3 linked regions of the Saccharomyces cerevisiae S288C genome follow. Changing the gene in region 1 together with any one later gene gives a genetic interaction. Each region holds a gene or a part of one and is shown in the gene's direction. Other genes may lie near its edges.

The links. A genetic interaction does not mean that the proteins touch.
Region 2: mutations in TYR1 (region 1) and GRR1 are lethal when combined (synthetic lethality), as found in Saccharomyces cerevisiae (one study listed by BioGRID).
Region 3: mutations in TYR1 (region 1) and CHS1 impair growth when combined (synthetic growth defect), as found in Saccharomyces cerevisiae (2 studies listed by BioGRID).

Annotation. Positions count from the first base shown.
Region 1 is NC_001134.8:569,334-573,163, reverse strand, and holds TYR1 (prephenate dehydrogenase (NADP(+))), read left to right. Parts: upstream 1-1,963; coding exon 1,964-3,322; downstream 3,323-3,830. Other genes in the region: PEX32 (Pex32p), read right to left, coding at 1-793; ribonuclease P/MRP protein subunit POP7, read left to right, coding at 1,274-1,696; UBS1 (Ubs1p), read right to left, coding at 3,479-3,830.
Region 2 is NC_001142.9:590,372-596,014, reverse strand, and holds GRR1 (SCF ubiquitin ligase complex subunit GRR1), read left to right. Parts: upstream 1-1,687; coding exon 1,688-5,143; downstream 5,144-5,643. Other genes in the region: JSN1 (Jsn1p), read left to right, coding at 1-954; BIR1 (survivin), read right to left, coding at 5,433-5,643. UniProt on the Saccharomyces cerevisiae protein: Substrate recognition component of a SCF (SKP1-CUL1-F-box protein) E3 ubiquitin-protein ligase complex which mediates the ubiquitination and subsequent proteasomal degradation of target proteins.
Region 3 is NC_001146.8:274,559-280,397, forward strand, and holds CHS1 (chitin synthase CHS1), read left to right. Parts: upstream 1-1,943; coding exon 1,944-5,339; downstream 5,340-5,839. Other genes in the region: YNL193W (uncharacterized protein), read left to right, coding at 1-1,486. UniProt on the Saccharomyces cerevisiae protein: Polymerizes chitin, a structural polymer of the cell wall and septum, by transferring the sugar moiety of UDP-GlcNAc to the non-reducing end of the growing chitin polymer. Required for mitotic division septum formation during adverse conditions.

The DNA of each region.
Region 1 (3,830 bases):
CACGTCCTTGAGATAAAGGAATAATTTGTTCCATCTTTAAGTGTTTTGGTAAGAAACTCGAAATTTTAAAACTTTCAATCCCCAAATAATAGAAATTCCTAACAGCAGTAAACCTCCAAAGTAGCCTTAAGGTAGCTTGAAAACTACTCGTATTGTATATCAAGCCGGTAATAATAAAAAATCTAGTATAAGTTCCCGGTGATATGTATCTCATGATAATAATTTGAAAAATTGTACCGAATAAGAATAATCTGCAAAACAACCTCTTGCCAGAACACTCCTTATTGACGCCATCAAATGAAAGCTTTAATTTTTTCCAAACATTCAGCTCGTTTCTCAGTACTTCCAGTTTATCCAACACAGACTCTAGTAGCACGACAATTTCATCCAATGTAGGAGGTTCCGTGTCTCTTAACGAAGCTATCAATGAAACAATATAATACATGAATGATAAGAATAGAAATGCCCCGCTTATAATGCCTAACCATAGTCTCAAAATCTTTGTAAATGGCAGAAAATGGCTAGCCTCTGTTTCAACGGGGATAAAAAAACTTATGGTCAGCCATATGCTCGTTAGATAAATGAATGTTAAACATTTATCGTCGGACAGCCACATTATATTCGCTAAGGCATTGTCGAATATTAGTAGTAGTGGATATGCGTGAAACAGAGTGCTGGAAATCATTGGAGGTGTAATTTGGATAAGAGAGGGCTTTTGCCCATGATTATGTATAAATTTCGCCTTAATTTTTTTATTTTCAGTTTGTACTTTGGTTTTAGAATTTGTGTCCATTTCTTTCCTTGAAATTAGCAAAATGATGTCCACTGAACTAAATTAAGATCAATGAAAGAAAAGAGAAAGTATGAAGTAGTTTCGAGTGATTGCACCTTCTTCATCAATTCTGTTTACCCTTGCAGTTGGTGTTCCAGTAATTCTTGGAAATAAGCATAAAAGGGTATTTGTTTCGGGGATAATTTCTTTACTTCCCCACCAGGCTGTTGAATTGAATATGAAAATGGTATGACAACAATAATGTCTAAAATTCCCAAATCAATTTGGTAAAAATCTGTCCAGCTCAATATGGTTGAATAATCATGAGAAGTACATCAATAGTCTTCTCATGTCATTTCGAAAAAATGTTTTTTCTTCATTTTTTTCCTGCGATTGTTTGACCATTTGTTTAATTTCACTCTCTGTAAAGAGCTACTTAACTATTCAGAAATAAGCAATAAGATTGACGGTCAAAGAAGAAAAGAGAACTCTGCACCCAGGATGGCACTCAAAAAGAATACACACAACAAATCTACCAAACGAGTAACGAAACACCCATCTTTGAAAACTCTAACGCATAAGCAAATACACACAACAATTTTCGTTAAGTCTACAACACCATACGTTAGTGCACTGAAAAGAATAAATAAGTTTCTCGATAGCGTTCATAAGCAAGGATCATCCTATGTTGCGGTTTTGGGTATGGGTAAAGCTGTAGAAAAGACACTGGCATTAGGTTGTCATTTTCAAGATCAGAAGAACAAGAAAATAGAGGTTTACACTAAAACTATAGAAGTTCTTGATGAAGTAATAACTGAAGGCCAAGCTGATATCGACATGGAAAGTGATGTTGAAGATGACGATAAAGAAACCCAACTAAAGAAAAGGGCTGTAAGCGGTGTAGAATTGCGTATTTATGTTTAATATGTCATACTTTTAGCGCTCATTGTTATTGTATACTATTTATAGCTAACAGTTTATTATTAGATTTCCTCTAATAAGCGTTATACCAGTGTAGTAAGTTTATCACTTCAGCTATGTGTCATTTTTTTTTTTTTTTTTTGAGGCCTTATATGAAAATAAGCTTTGAAGAAAGTGATACTGGAATTATTCAAACCAAGAAAAGTTTTTAGAATTACAAGAATACCGTAGCACTTGAAGGAAAGAGGACAGCATATCCACTTGATAAACATGGTATCAGAGGATAAGATTGAGCAATGGAAAGCCACAAAAGTCATTGGTATAATTGGTCTGGGTGATATGGGCCTATTATACGCTAATAAATTTACAGATGCTGGATGGGGTGTTATATGTTGTGATAGGGAAGAATATTATGATGAACTGAAAGAAAAATATGCCTCAGCTAAATTCGAACTGGTGAAAAATGGTCATTTGGTATCCAGGCAAAGCGACTATATTATCTATAGTGTTGAAGCATCCAATATTAGTAAGATCGTCGCAACGTATGGACCATCTTCTAAGGTTGGAACAATTGTTGGGGGTCAAACGAGTTGTAAGCTGCCGGAAATCGAGGCTTTCGAAAAGTATTTACCCAAGGACTGCGACATCATTACCGTGCATTCCCTTCATGGGCCTAAAGTTAATACTGAAGGCCAACCACTAGTTATTATCAATCACAGATCACAGTACCCAGAATCTTTTGAGTTCGTTAATTCTGTTATGGCATGTTTGAAAAGTAAGCAAGTTTATTTGACATATGAAGAGCATGACAAGATTACCGCTGATACACAAGCTGTGACACATGCTGCTTTCTTAAGTATGGGATCTGCGTGGGCAAAGATAAAGATTTATCCTTGGACTCTGGGTGTAAACAAATGGTACGGTGGCCTAGAAAATGTGAAAGTTAATATATCACTAAGAATCTATTCGAACAAGTGGCATGTTTACGCAGGATTAGCCATAACAAACCCAAGTGCACATCAGCAAATTCTTCAATATGCAACCAGTGCAACAGAACTATTTAGTTTAATGATAGATAACAAAGAACAAGAACTTACTGATAGACTATTAAAAGCTAAGCAATTTGTATTTGGAAAGCATACTGGTCTCTTACTATTGGATGACACGATTTTAGAGAAATATTCGCTATCAAAAAGCAGCATTGGTAACAGCAACAATTGCAAGCCAGTGCCGAATTCACATTTATCATTGTTGGCGATTGTTGATTCGTGGTTTCAACTTGGTATTGATCCATATGATCATATGATTTGTTCGACGCCATTATTCAGAATATTCCTGGGTGTGTCCGAATATCTTTTTTTAAAACCTGGCTTATTAGAACAGACAATTGATGCAGCTATCCATGATAAATCATTCATAAAAGATGATTTAGAATTTGTTATTTCGGCTAGAGAATGGAGCTCGGTTGTTTCTTTTGCCAATTTTGATATATACAAAAAGCAATTTCAGAGTGTTCAAAAGTTCTTTGAGCCAATGCTTCCAGAGGCTAATCTCATTGGCAACGAGATGATAAAAACCATTCTGAGTCATTCTAGTGACCGTTCGGCCGCTGAAAAAAGAAATACATAATGTTTTTAATGCTGATTTCCTATAATATTAGGCCTTCTTTTGTGAAAAGGAGTATATTTATATAACTGAATAAAAATATATATTGTGACAAATGCCCATGCAAAAAATCGTGAAAAAAGGAAGAAAGTTCTACTATTCTATGTAAAAATAAACCCATTAGATTTTTTTCCTCTTTGTGTAATGCTCACTACCGCGATTATCGTTCGTTTCATCTGGACATGCCAACGTTCTTGACCTTTTAGAACTTACGACCGGATGAATACTGTCATCATCACATGCAAGTAAGTTTTTGGTCATAAAGTCGATAGCATTGTAGTCATGTGTCCTTTTGTTAACGTTATTATTGTTGAGAGTAGATAACATACTAGACTTTCCTATGCTGCTGTTAGTATAAGGGTTCTTGCTGTTGTCTTGTGCGTGAAAGGTGTGGCTTTGAGCATTGTAAGAGGACATAAATTCATTGACACTGCCACCATTACTATTGCTGATATTATGATTTTTGGAATAG
Region 2 (5,643 bases), on another chromosome or scaffold:
AATAGCAATGGTGCGTTGTTAGTAACGTGGTTTTTAGATACTAGTGTTTTACCCAACAGACATTCTATCTTGGCACCAAGATTGACGAAAAGAATTGTAGAGTTATGTGGCCACAGATTGGCTTCTTTGACTATTTTGAAGGTCTTGAATTACAGAGGGGATGATAACGCTAGAAAAATCATCCTAGATTCCCTATTTGGAAACGTGAACGCACACGATTCTTCGCCACCAAAGGAATTAACAAAGCTTTTATGTGAAACAAATTATGGCCCAACCTTTGTCCATAAAGTTTTAGCAATGCCATTATTAGAAGATGACTTAAGAGCCCACATCATTAAACAAGTCAGAAAAGTATTGACGGATTCTACTCAAATCCAACCAAGCCGCCGTTTATTGGAAGAAGTCGGGTTGGCATCACCCTCTAGTACTCATAACAAGACAAAACAACAACAGCAGCAGCATCATAACAGCAGCATTTCGCACATGTTCGCCACTCCTGATACTTCTGGACAACACATGAGAGGTCTTTCTGTTTCTAGCGTTAAAAGTGGTGGATCTAAACATACCACAATGAACACCACGACTACAAATGGTTCTTCTGCCTCTACATTATCCCCGGGCCAACCATTGAATGCCAATTCTAATTCTTCAATGGGCTATTTTAGTTATCCTGGCGTCTTCCCTGTCAGCGGCTTTTCAGGCAACGCCAGTAATGGATATGCTATGAACAACGATGACTTAAGTTCCCAGTTTGATATGCTAAACTTTAATAACGGAACCCGTTTATCGTTGCCACAACTGAGCCTAACTAACCATAACAACACTACTATGGAATTAGTAAACAATGTTGGCTCCTCACAACCTCATACGAACAACAACAACAATAATAACAACACGAACTATAACGACGATAACACCGTTTTTGAAACTCTGACTTTACACTCTGCAAACTGACGTCCCCATGTTTTCTTTTATTTCCGTCATCATTGGGAGACCACGCCGTTTTCTTCTCATACCTGCATCCATTCAAAACTATCTCATTTACCCCCAACGGTTTTATGGTTCAAATCCTAATAGAATATGAGCGAGCTAATGAAGAATTTGGGCATTTTCATTACTGGGAAGACGTGTCTTTTTCAAGCCATCATATCGCCAAATTTTTTTTCTACACCTAATCATGATTAAATAAATCCATAAAGTTTTATACAGTTTTTAAAAATATCATCATTTATTACCCAGATGTGTTAATGAACATTTATAGTCATCATTACTAGGCTTTCATTACTACTGAGGTTACCCGCCTATGGACCTTCCTTGGTAAAGGAACTTGTTTTAAAATTTGCCTTTTAACAAATTTAGTGATATGATTATCAAAAAAGGCGTGGCAAAATACATAACACCAAATTTAACTGTGCCTGTGTGTTACTTTCTTTTGTCCATACTTCACCAGTTTTTCGATTTTACACAATAATTCGTTTTCATTTAATCGTTCTCTTAGAAGCCCGGTTTTTGAATATCAAAATCGTACTTGTGTCCAACTAGCAGGGAAGCCCAAAAATTAAGGCATTGCATTTAAGCTTACACCTGCGTGAAATCTTGAAATTTCTCATTGATTTCGGCACAATAATTATCATTGGTAGTGAGGCTAAACAGTTTTGCGGTTTCCTTTATACTAAGAAGGTCTATAATGGATCAGGATAACAACAACCACAATGACAGCAATAGGCTGCACCCACCTGATATACATCCAAATTTGGGCCCTCAATTGTGGCTGAATAGTAGCGGTGATTTTGACGACAACAACAACAACAACAACAACAACAACAATAATAATAGCACAAGACCACAAATGCCATCACGAACTAGAGAAACGGCAACTTCGGAAAGAAATGCAAGTGAGGTTAGGGATGCAACGCTAAATAATATCTTTAGGTTCGATAGTATTCAACGGGAAACGCTTTTGCCAACCAACAACGGACAACCGCTAAATCAAAACTTTTCGCTGACATTTCAACCACAACAGCAAACAAATGCGCTGAACGGGATTGACATAAACACTGTGAACACAAACCTTATGAATGGTGTCAATGTTCAAATAGATCAACTTAATCGATTGTTACCGAACCTACCAGAGGAAGAACGGAAGCAAATCCACGAATTCAAGCTAATAGTGGGCAAAAAAATCCAAGAGTTTCTGGTTGTTATAGAGAAACGTAGAAAAAAAATACTGAACGAAATTGAGCTAGACAACCTTAAACTAAAGGAGCTACGTATTGATAACTCCCCACAAGCAATTAGTTATTTGCATAAATTACAAAGAATGAGGCTTAGGGCGCTAGAGACAGAAAACATGGAAATTAGAAATTTAAGGCTAAAAATATTAACAATTATAGAAGAGTACAAAAAGTCATTATATGCATACTGCCATTCCAAGCTAAGAGGTCAACAAGTGGAAAATCCAACAGATAATTTCATCATTTGGATAAACTCCATAGATACTACTGAATCATCTGACTTGAAAGAAGGGCTACAAGATCTTTCGAGATATTCAAGGCAGTTCATAAATAATGTGCTTTCGAATCCATCAAATCAAAACATATGTACGAGTGTCACCCGAAGATCACCTGTGTTTGCCCTAAACATGCTACCCTCGGAAATATTACACTTAATATTAGATAAACTTAACCAAAAATATGATATTGTAAAATTCCTTACCGTTTCCAAACTCTGGGCTGAAATAATTGTGAAGATACTTTATTACAGACCGCACATCAACAAAAAGAGTCAATTAGACTTGTTTTTAAGGACTATGAAGTTAACTTCTGAAGAAACTGTATTCAACTATCGTTTAATGATCAAAAGATTAAATTTTTCATTTGTTGGTGACTACATGCACGATACAGAGCTTAACTATTTTGTCGGATGTAAGAATTTGGAGCGACTAACTTTAGTATTTTGCAAGCATATAACCAGTGTTCCAATATCGGCTGTTTTGAGAGGATGTAAATTTCTCCAAAGTGTGGATATCACTGGAATAAGAGACGTTTCCGATGACGTATTTGATACCTTAGCGACATATTGTCCCAGAGTACAGGGCTTTTATGTTCCTCAGGCAAGGAATGTAACATTCGATTCACTGCGGAATTTCATAGTCCATTCCCCGATGTTGAAAAGAATAAAAATCACAGCAAACAATAACATGAATGACGAATTAGTAGAACTATTAGCCAACAAATGCCCTTTGCTTGTAGAGGTCGATATAACATTAAGTCCAAATGTCACTGATTCTAGTTTGTTAAAACTCCTCACTAGGTTAGTTCAGCTGAGGGAATTCAGAATAACTCATAATACGAATATTACGGATAATCTTTTCCAGGAGCTTTCTAAAGTAGTTGACGATATGCCCTCTTTAAGATTGATTGATCTTTCTGGATGTGAAAATATTACAGATAAAACTATAGAAAGTATAGTCAATTTAGCCCCTAAATTACGTAATGTTTTTCTAGGCAAGTGTAGCCGAATTACAGATGCATCGTTGTTCCAATTATCGAAGCTGGGCAAAAACTTGCAAACAGTGCATTTTGGGCACTGTTTCAATATAACTGATAACGGGGTAAGAGCACTCTTTCATTCATGTACAAGAATACAGTATGTGGACTTTGCGTGCTGTACGAATTTAACCAATAGAACTCTTTATGAACTAGCAGACTTACCAAAATTAAAGAGAATTGGCCTTGTCAAATGTACGCAAATGACTGACGAGGGTTTGTTGAATATGGTTTCCTTGCGAGGCCGAAATGATACTTTAGAAAGGGTACATTTATCTTACTGTTCTAATTTAACAATATATCCGATATATGAGCTTCTAATGTCTTGCCCAAGGCTCTCACATTTGTCTTTGACTGCTGTTCCGTCATTTTTACGCCCCGATATAACGATGTATTGCAGGCCTGCACCCTCAGACTTTAGTGAAAATCAACGTCAAATATTCTGCGTATTTTCAGGGAAAGGTGTTCATAAACTTCGCCATTATTTAGTAAATTTAACGTCGCCCGCTTTTGGACCACATGTCGATGTAAATGATGTTTTGACAAAATATATTAGATCCAAGAATTTGATATTTAACGGTGAAACACTTGAAGATGCTCTTAGGAGAATCATAACTGATTTAAATCAAGATTCCGCTGCAATTATAGCTGCTACAGGATTAAATCAAATCAACGGTCTAAATAACGATTTTCTTTTCCAGAATATCAATTTTGAACGAATAGATGAAGTATTCAGTTGGTATCTCAATACTTTTGATGGCATTAGGATGAGCTCGGAGGAAGTTAACTCACTATTATTGCAAGTAAACAAGACGTTTTGTGAAGATCCATTTAGTGATGTGGACGATGATCAAGATTATGTCGTAGCACCTGGTGTAAACCGGGAAATTAACAGTGAAATGTGTCATATTGTTAGAAAATTCCATGAGTTAAATGATCATATTGATGATTTCGAGGTGAATGTTGCTAGTTTGGTAAGAGTTCAGTTTCAGTTTACTGGTTTTTTACTTCATGAAATGACTCAAACCTATATGCAAATGATTGAATTAAACAGACAAATTTGTTTAGTACAAAAAACGGTTCAGGAATCGGGCAACATAGATTACCAAAAAGGGCTTTTAATATGGCGACTTTTATTCATTGACAAATTCATTATGGTGGTTCAGAAGTACAAGCTCTCCACCGTTGTTTTGAGACTATATTTAAAAGATAACATAACATTGTTAACCAGACAAAGAGAACTATTAATAGCCCACCAAAGATCAGCATGGAATAACAATAATGACAATGACGCCAACCGGAACGCCAACAACATAGTGAATATTGTATCGGATGCTGGGGCAAACGATACAAGTAACAATGAAACTAACAATGGTAATGATGACAATGAAACAGAAAATCCAAATTTCTGGCGTCAGTTTGGCAATAGAATGCAAATATCACCTGACCAGATGAGGAATCTCCAAATGGGACTTCGTAATCAGAACATGGTTAGGAACAATAACAACAACACAATTGACGAATCAATGCCTGACACTGCCATTGATTCTCAAATGGATGAAGCATCAGGAACGCCCGATGAAGATATGTTATAATTGTATTTCATTGAATACTTACTGTCCTACTACACCTTTATTTTCAAAATCCCACTTTTCTTACTTATTTACATATAAATACATAATGCATTCACTTTGAAACTTTTTGCCTTAGCATGTATACGCTATAGACTTGCGGTATCAACGAATATACGTAACGTTGTCACGTCCACAGAAGATGCTATGTCAACAGTTCCCTGCAGATATCTGCGATGCGGCGAAACATTCTATACACAGTTTCAAAACTACAAAAAATACAAACCTTTAGCCTGTTTATCAAATTAGTTAGCTATAAAATGCCCATTTTCTTAGCAATATCGATCAATTGATTGTCATCTTCCAAAGTTTCAATAAAATTTGTGGCAGTATAGTAATCCCTTCTCAATATGTCCAATTTCTTATCACAGTCATCTATAAATTCGCGCTTAATAGATTGCACTTTTAGGTTCACCCAATTGTTGAATGTCATGTCCAACTCTTCTGCAGGCATTTGCTTAATC
Region 3 (5,839 bases), on another chromosome or scaffold:
TGGTCTGACTGCTTTAGATTCCACGCAGGAAGGGAAATATAATATCTATTATAATGAAACAAGGCTTTTTTTGCAAATTTATACAGATTATCTGGCCAATAACGGCTACATTAATATCTTGCAATACGTGAAAATGGATGATATGCCTGATCTTTCCAATTTGGTGTTATCTCTGCCACAGATTATCCAACGGTTTGAAATTGTTTATGAGACTTTCCCAGAACAGAGAACTTGGGATCTTCAATTCAATCTATTGACATGTTATTTGACTCTCATAGAGTCCCTAGACGACACCGTTTCGCCCACCGTTGCAATGGAAGGTGCAGACATTTTAACTTTGACAAACAAGTATATTGAAATCTTTCAACACCTGGTTAATTATCTGTTACAAGAACTACAAAACTGGAGTGAAAATGCAGAACAAGATTCCGATGACACAGATACGGAATTGCAAAGAGATACTTTGGATGAAGACGCGATGCAAGTTACCAGGGACGGAAGTGGTATCCGAACCAATGGACCTGTACAACCTCCAGCAGAAGTTATGGACGTTTCTGAACAAGTGACTCCGTCTTCACTTACCGAAGTACTCGCCAACTCTTTAAAGTTCAACCATGCTTTGATGGAATTGGTTATTGAGTCGAAAATATCTATTGAAAAAAATGTCGAAACGAAAATCTTGAATCCTATTCAGATTAATTTCTTGGAAGATACAACCAATAAATTCTATTTACAACTACGCGACATTATAGACTCCATTTCCGCCGCCATTCCATTAGATTTGAAGGAAATCGGTTTAGCCAAGACTTTAATTGAAGGTTTGAACATCATTAGCTCCGGAACCTTCGAGTCATTGCAAGATTTTGTTCTGCAAACCGTCTCCTTTACCGATCTGCTTGATGAAAAAGATGTACAGGGTAAGATTGATCTTTCGTTGATTAGAGTTGATATCGTTGAATTTGCCATTCTATGTTTAAACGATTATTCTTCAGATGCATCTTGGAAACTCTCTGGGTTATTGACCAAAGTTCTTACAGAGGCTAGAACTTTATTAACAGACTATAGAAATCAAATCTTGTTTCTGAAAAATCAGACATTGAACGAACAATTGAGTCACGTAGTTTTTCAACTTTGTGATGTCTTAGTAAATTCCTCCGATAATGAACTGAGAAGGTACGCTATAAAAGAATCAACTGAAAAGTCACAAAAAACCCCCGGGGGAGCGCATACTTTAAACATATTGATGAAAAACGCTAACGTTTTTCTGAATAATGCTGTCGCTATCTCATCAAAACAGTGCGGGTTACAAGAAACGATTATTGATAAACTGAAGAGGAACTATATCCATAATCAAGCCAAGGAAAGACTACTTTTCTTACAGAGGCTGGAACAGAAGTCAAATGAGGATGACGGTACTTCTGCTTCGCCTACCGCAATGACGTTCGATATGCCACCAGAACACCCTTTTTATAGCCACTATCGGTAGTGAAATTACGTACATATACATAAGTAGAAGATAATTCGTTGCGCATATGCTACAAGAACCCTTGGTGAAACGAAATTTGATACAAGTAAATACATGCAGGAAACATACATTACCTCTGAAACAAAGCCGAGACGGGGCCCAGCAGTCTTTTTTTAGAAATCGCGTGGCTTGGTAACGCGATAATGACGCGACACAGCCATTAGTGTGAAATTTGATTTTCTTGGCCAAACTAGGTATAATATTTGTTACAAATTATTGATTTTAATATATATCTCGGGTTCATTTTTTACGTCGGTACTCCAAAGGATCAGAACACTTACATTTTGAGGCCTACCGGACCTTGCAGTACTGCTTGTTTAAATACGCAGTATACATTTCTTCTTCTTCTTCTCTCTTCTTTCCTTCCTCGAAGAGTCACTAAATTAATACTGGGAAGCCAAACCAAAAAAACTATACAATGAGTGATCAAAATAATCGATCGAGAAATGAATATCACTCAAACCGGAAGAATGAACCTTCCTATGAACTCCAAAATGCACATAGCGGGCTATTTCACTCTTCTAATGAAGAATTAACAAACAGGAACCAAAGATATACCAATCAAAATGCCAGCATGGGTTCATTCACTCCAGTCCAATCTTTGCAATTTCCAGAACAATCTCAGCAAACAAATATGCTTTATAACGGTGACGATGGCAATAATAATACTATCAATGATAACGAACGAGACATATATGGAGGTTTTGTCAACCACCATCGCCAGCGTCCCCCACCAGCAACTGCAGAATACAATGACGTTTTTAATACGAATAGTCAACAGCTACCGTCGGAACATCAATACAATAACGTACCTTCATATCCACTTCCTTCGATAAATGTGATTCAAACCACTCCAGAACTCATACATAACGGCTCACAGACTATGGCCACCCCCATCGAAAGGCCCTTCTTTAACGAAAACGACTACTATTATAATAACAGGAACTCTAGGACGTCACCGAGTATTGCTTCTAGTAGCGATGGTTATGCAGATCAGGAAGCTAGGCCCATTTTGGAGCAACCCAACAATAACATGAATAGCGGTAATATTCCTCAATACCATGACCAACCTTTTGGATACAACAATGGTTACCATGGCCTACAGGCAAAAGATTACTATGACGATCCGGAGGGTGGTTATATTGATCAGAGAGGAGATGACTATCAGATTAATTCATATTTGGGTAGAAACGGTGAAATGGTTGATCCTTACGATTATGAAAACAGTTTAAGACATATGACTCCTATGGAGCGTAGAGAATATCTTCATGATGATAGCAGACCCGTAAACGATGGAAAAGAAGAATTAGACAGTGTGAAAAGCGGTTACTCTCATAGAGACTTGGGGGAATATGACAAGGATGATTTTTCAAGGGATGACGAGTACGATGATCTCAACACTATTGATAAATTACAGTTTCAAGCTAATGGTGTACCTGCATCATCCTCGGTGTCTTCTATCGGATCTAAAGAATCCGACATAATAGTAAGCAATGATAACTTAACCGCAAATAGAGCACTAAAGAGAAGCGGTACTGAAATTAGGAAATTCAAACTTTGGAATGGTAATTTTGTTTTCGATTCTCCAATCAGTAAGACGCTATTGGACCAATACGCTACTACAACAGAAAATGCAAACACTTTACCAAATGAGTTTAAGTTTATGAGATATCAAGCAGTTACTTGCGAACCTAATCAACTTGCAGAGAAGAATTTCACGGTGAGGCAGTTGAAGTATTTAACTCCAAGGGAAACGGAATTGATGCTAGTAGTCACAATGTATAATGAAGACCATATCCTGTTAGGAAGAACTTTGAAAGGTATTATGGACAATGTCAAATATATGGTGAAAAAAAAAAATTCAAGCACTTGGGGGCCGGATGCATGGAAAAAGATTGTCGTTTGTATCATTTCAGATGGTAGATCCAAAATTAATGAACGCTCGCTAGCATTACTAAGTTCGTTAGGTTGTTACCAGGACGGGTTTGCTAAGGATGAAATTAATGAAAAAAAAGTGGCAATGCATGTCTACGAACATACGACAATGATCAACATCACAAATATTTCGGAATCAGAGGTTTCATTAGAATGCAATCAAGGTACCGTTCCAATACAACTTTTGTTTTGTTTGAAAGAGCAAAATCAGAAAAAAATTAACTCACATAGATGGGCATTTGAAGGCTTTGCAGAATTACTGCGTCCCAATATCGTTACATTGTTAGATGCTGGTACCATGCCAGGTAAAGATTCTATTTACCAGTTATGGAGAGAGTTCAGGAATCCAAATGTTGGTGGCGCATGTGGTGAAATAAGAACTGATTTGGGTAAGAGATTTGTAAAGCTTTTGAATCCTTTAGTTGCATCACAGAATTTCGAATACAAAATGTCCAATATTTTAGACAAAACAACCGAGTCTAACTTTGGATTTATTACTGTTCTACCGGGGGCATTCTCTGCGTATAGGTTTGAAGCTGTGAGAGGCCAACCATTACAGAAGTACTTTTATGGTGAAATTATGGAAAATGAAGGTTTTCATTTTTTTTCTTCCAATATGTATCTTGCTGAAGATCGTATTTTATGCTTTGAAGTGGTCACAAAAAAAAATTGTAATTGGATTTTGAAATACTGCAGAAGTTCTTATGCTTCAACAGATGTACCGGAGAGGGTCCCTGAATTTATTCTTCAGAGGAGGCGTTGGTTGAATGGTTCATTTTTTGCTAGTGTATATTCCTTTTGTCATTTTTACAGAGTCTGGAGCAGTGGTCATAATATTGGTAGAAAACTCCTTTTGACGGTTGAATTTTTTTACCTTTTCTTCAATACATTGATTTCATGGTTTTCATTGAGTTCATTTTTCCTAGTCTTTAGAATTCTCACTGTTTCTATTGCACTGGCATACCATTCAGCATTTAATGTGTTGTCCGTCATATTCCTGTGGCTTTATGGGATTTGTACCTTATCAACATTCATACTGTCATTGGGTAATAAACCTAAAAGTACTGAGAAATTTTATGTTCTAACTTGCGTCATTTTTGCGGTGATGATGATTTACATGATATTCTGCAGTATATTCATGAGTGTCAAATCCTTCCAAAATATATTGAAAAACGATACCATCAGCTTTGAGGGTTTGATTACCACAGAAGCTTTCAGGGATATTGTTATCTCTCTGGGCTCCACTTATTGTTTGTACCTAATCAGTTCAATTATCTATTTGCAGCCATGGCATATGTTGACAAGTTTTATTCAGTATATTTTATTGAGTCCTTCTTACATCAATGTTTTGAATATCTATGCATTTTGTAATGTCCACGACTTATCATGGGGTACAAAGGGTGCAATGGCAAATCCGCTGGGTAAGATTAATACTACAGAAGATGGTACGTTCAAAATGGAAGTTCTGGTCTCTAGTTCAGAGATTCAAGCAAACTACGATAAATATTTGAAAGTTTTAAATGACTTCGATCCAAAATCAGAATCTCGGCCTACTGAGCCATCTTATGATGAAAAAAAGACTGGCTATTATGCAAACGTTAGATCTCTCGTGATTATCTTTTGGGTCATCACAAATTTCATCATCGTTGCTGTTGTCTTAGAAACCGGTGGGATTGCAGATTATATTGCTATGAAATCCATATCAACTGATGACACTTTAGAAACTGCAAAGAAGGCGGAAATTCCCTTAATGACCAGTAAGGCCTCAATTTATTTTAATGTAATTTTATGGTTAGTTGCATTATCGGCATTAATAAGGTTCATTGGTTGCTCAATATACATGATAGTAAGGTTTTTTAAAAAGGTTACATTTCGCTAAGTAGATTGATTACCCCTTTGTTATAAATAAGTATATGTGTTTACTATCATATAATAATTAATTAGTTGTAAGTATGGTATTTTTCAAAGAAACATTTAGTATTATTTTTAAAGGGTGCCTTTACCATAAAACCAAAAAAAAATGGCTTCTGAGAGAAAAACATAAATAATTGATAAAACTGAAACTCACAACACCAACTCTTCCGCTCTAAACACCCAAAGCTCAAAAAACGACATGTGCACATCTATATCCATAAACTTTCAAAAAAGTGGTTCATTCGCAAATTCATGAAGTATTATTTAATACACAGTAATCTGGCATTTCATACTATCATTGCTCAAATTATCCGCCGGACCCTTGAAACTGTGGCGCTTTTTAAGACGCATCTCCAAAAAAAGAAAAAGAACAAAAGAAAAAAAGCTGCAAATATATATACAAAACAGATTTCACGTTTATTGCTTGGGAGTAAGGTAACGATCCGGAAGCCTTGAAGAAATTTG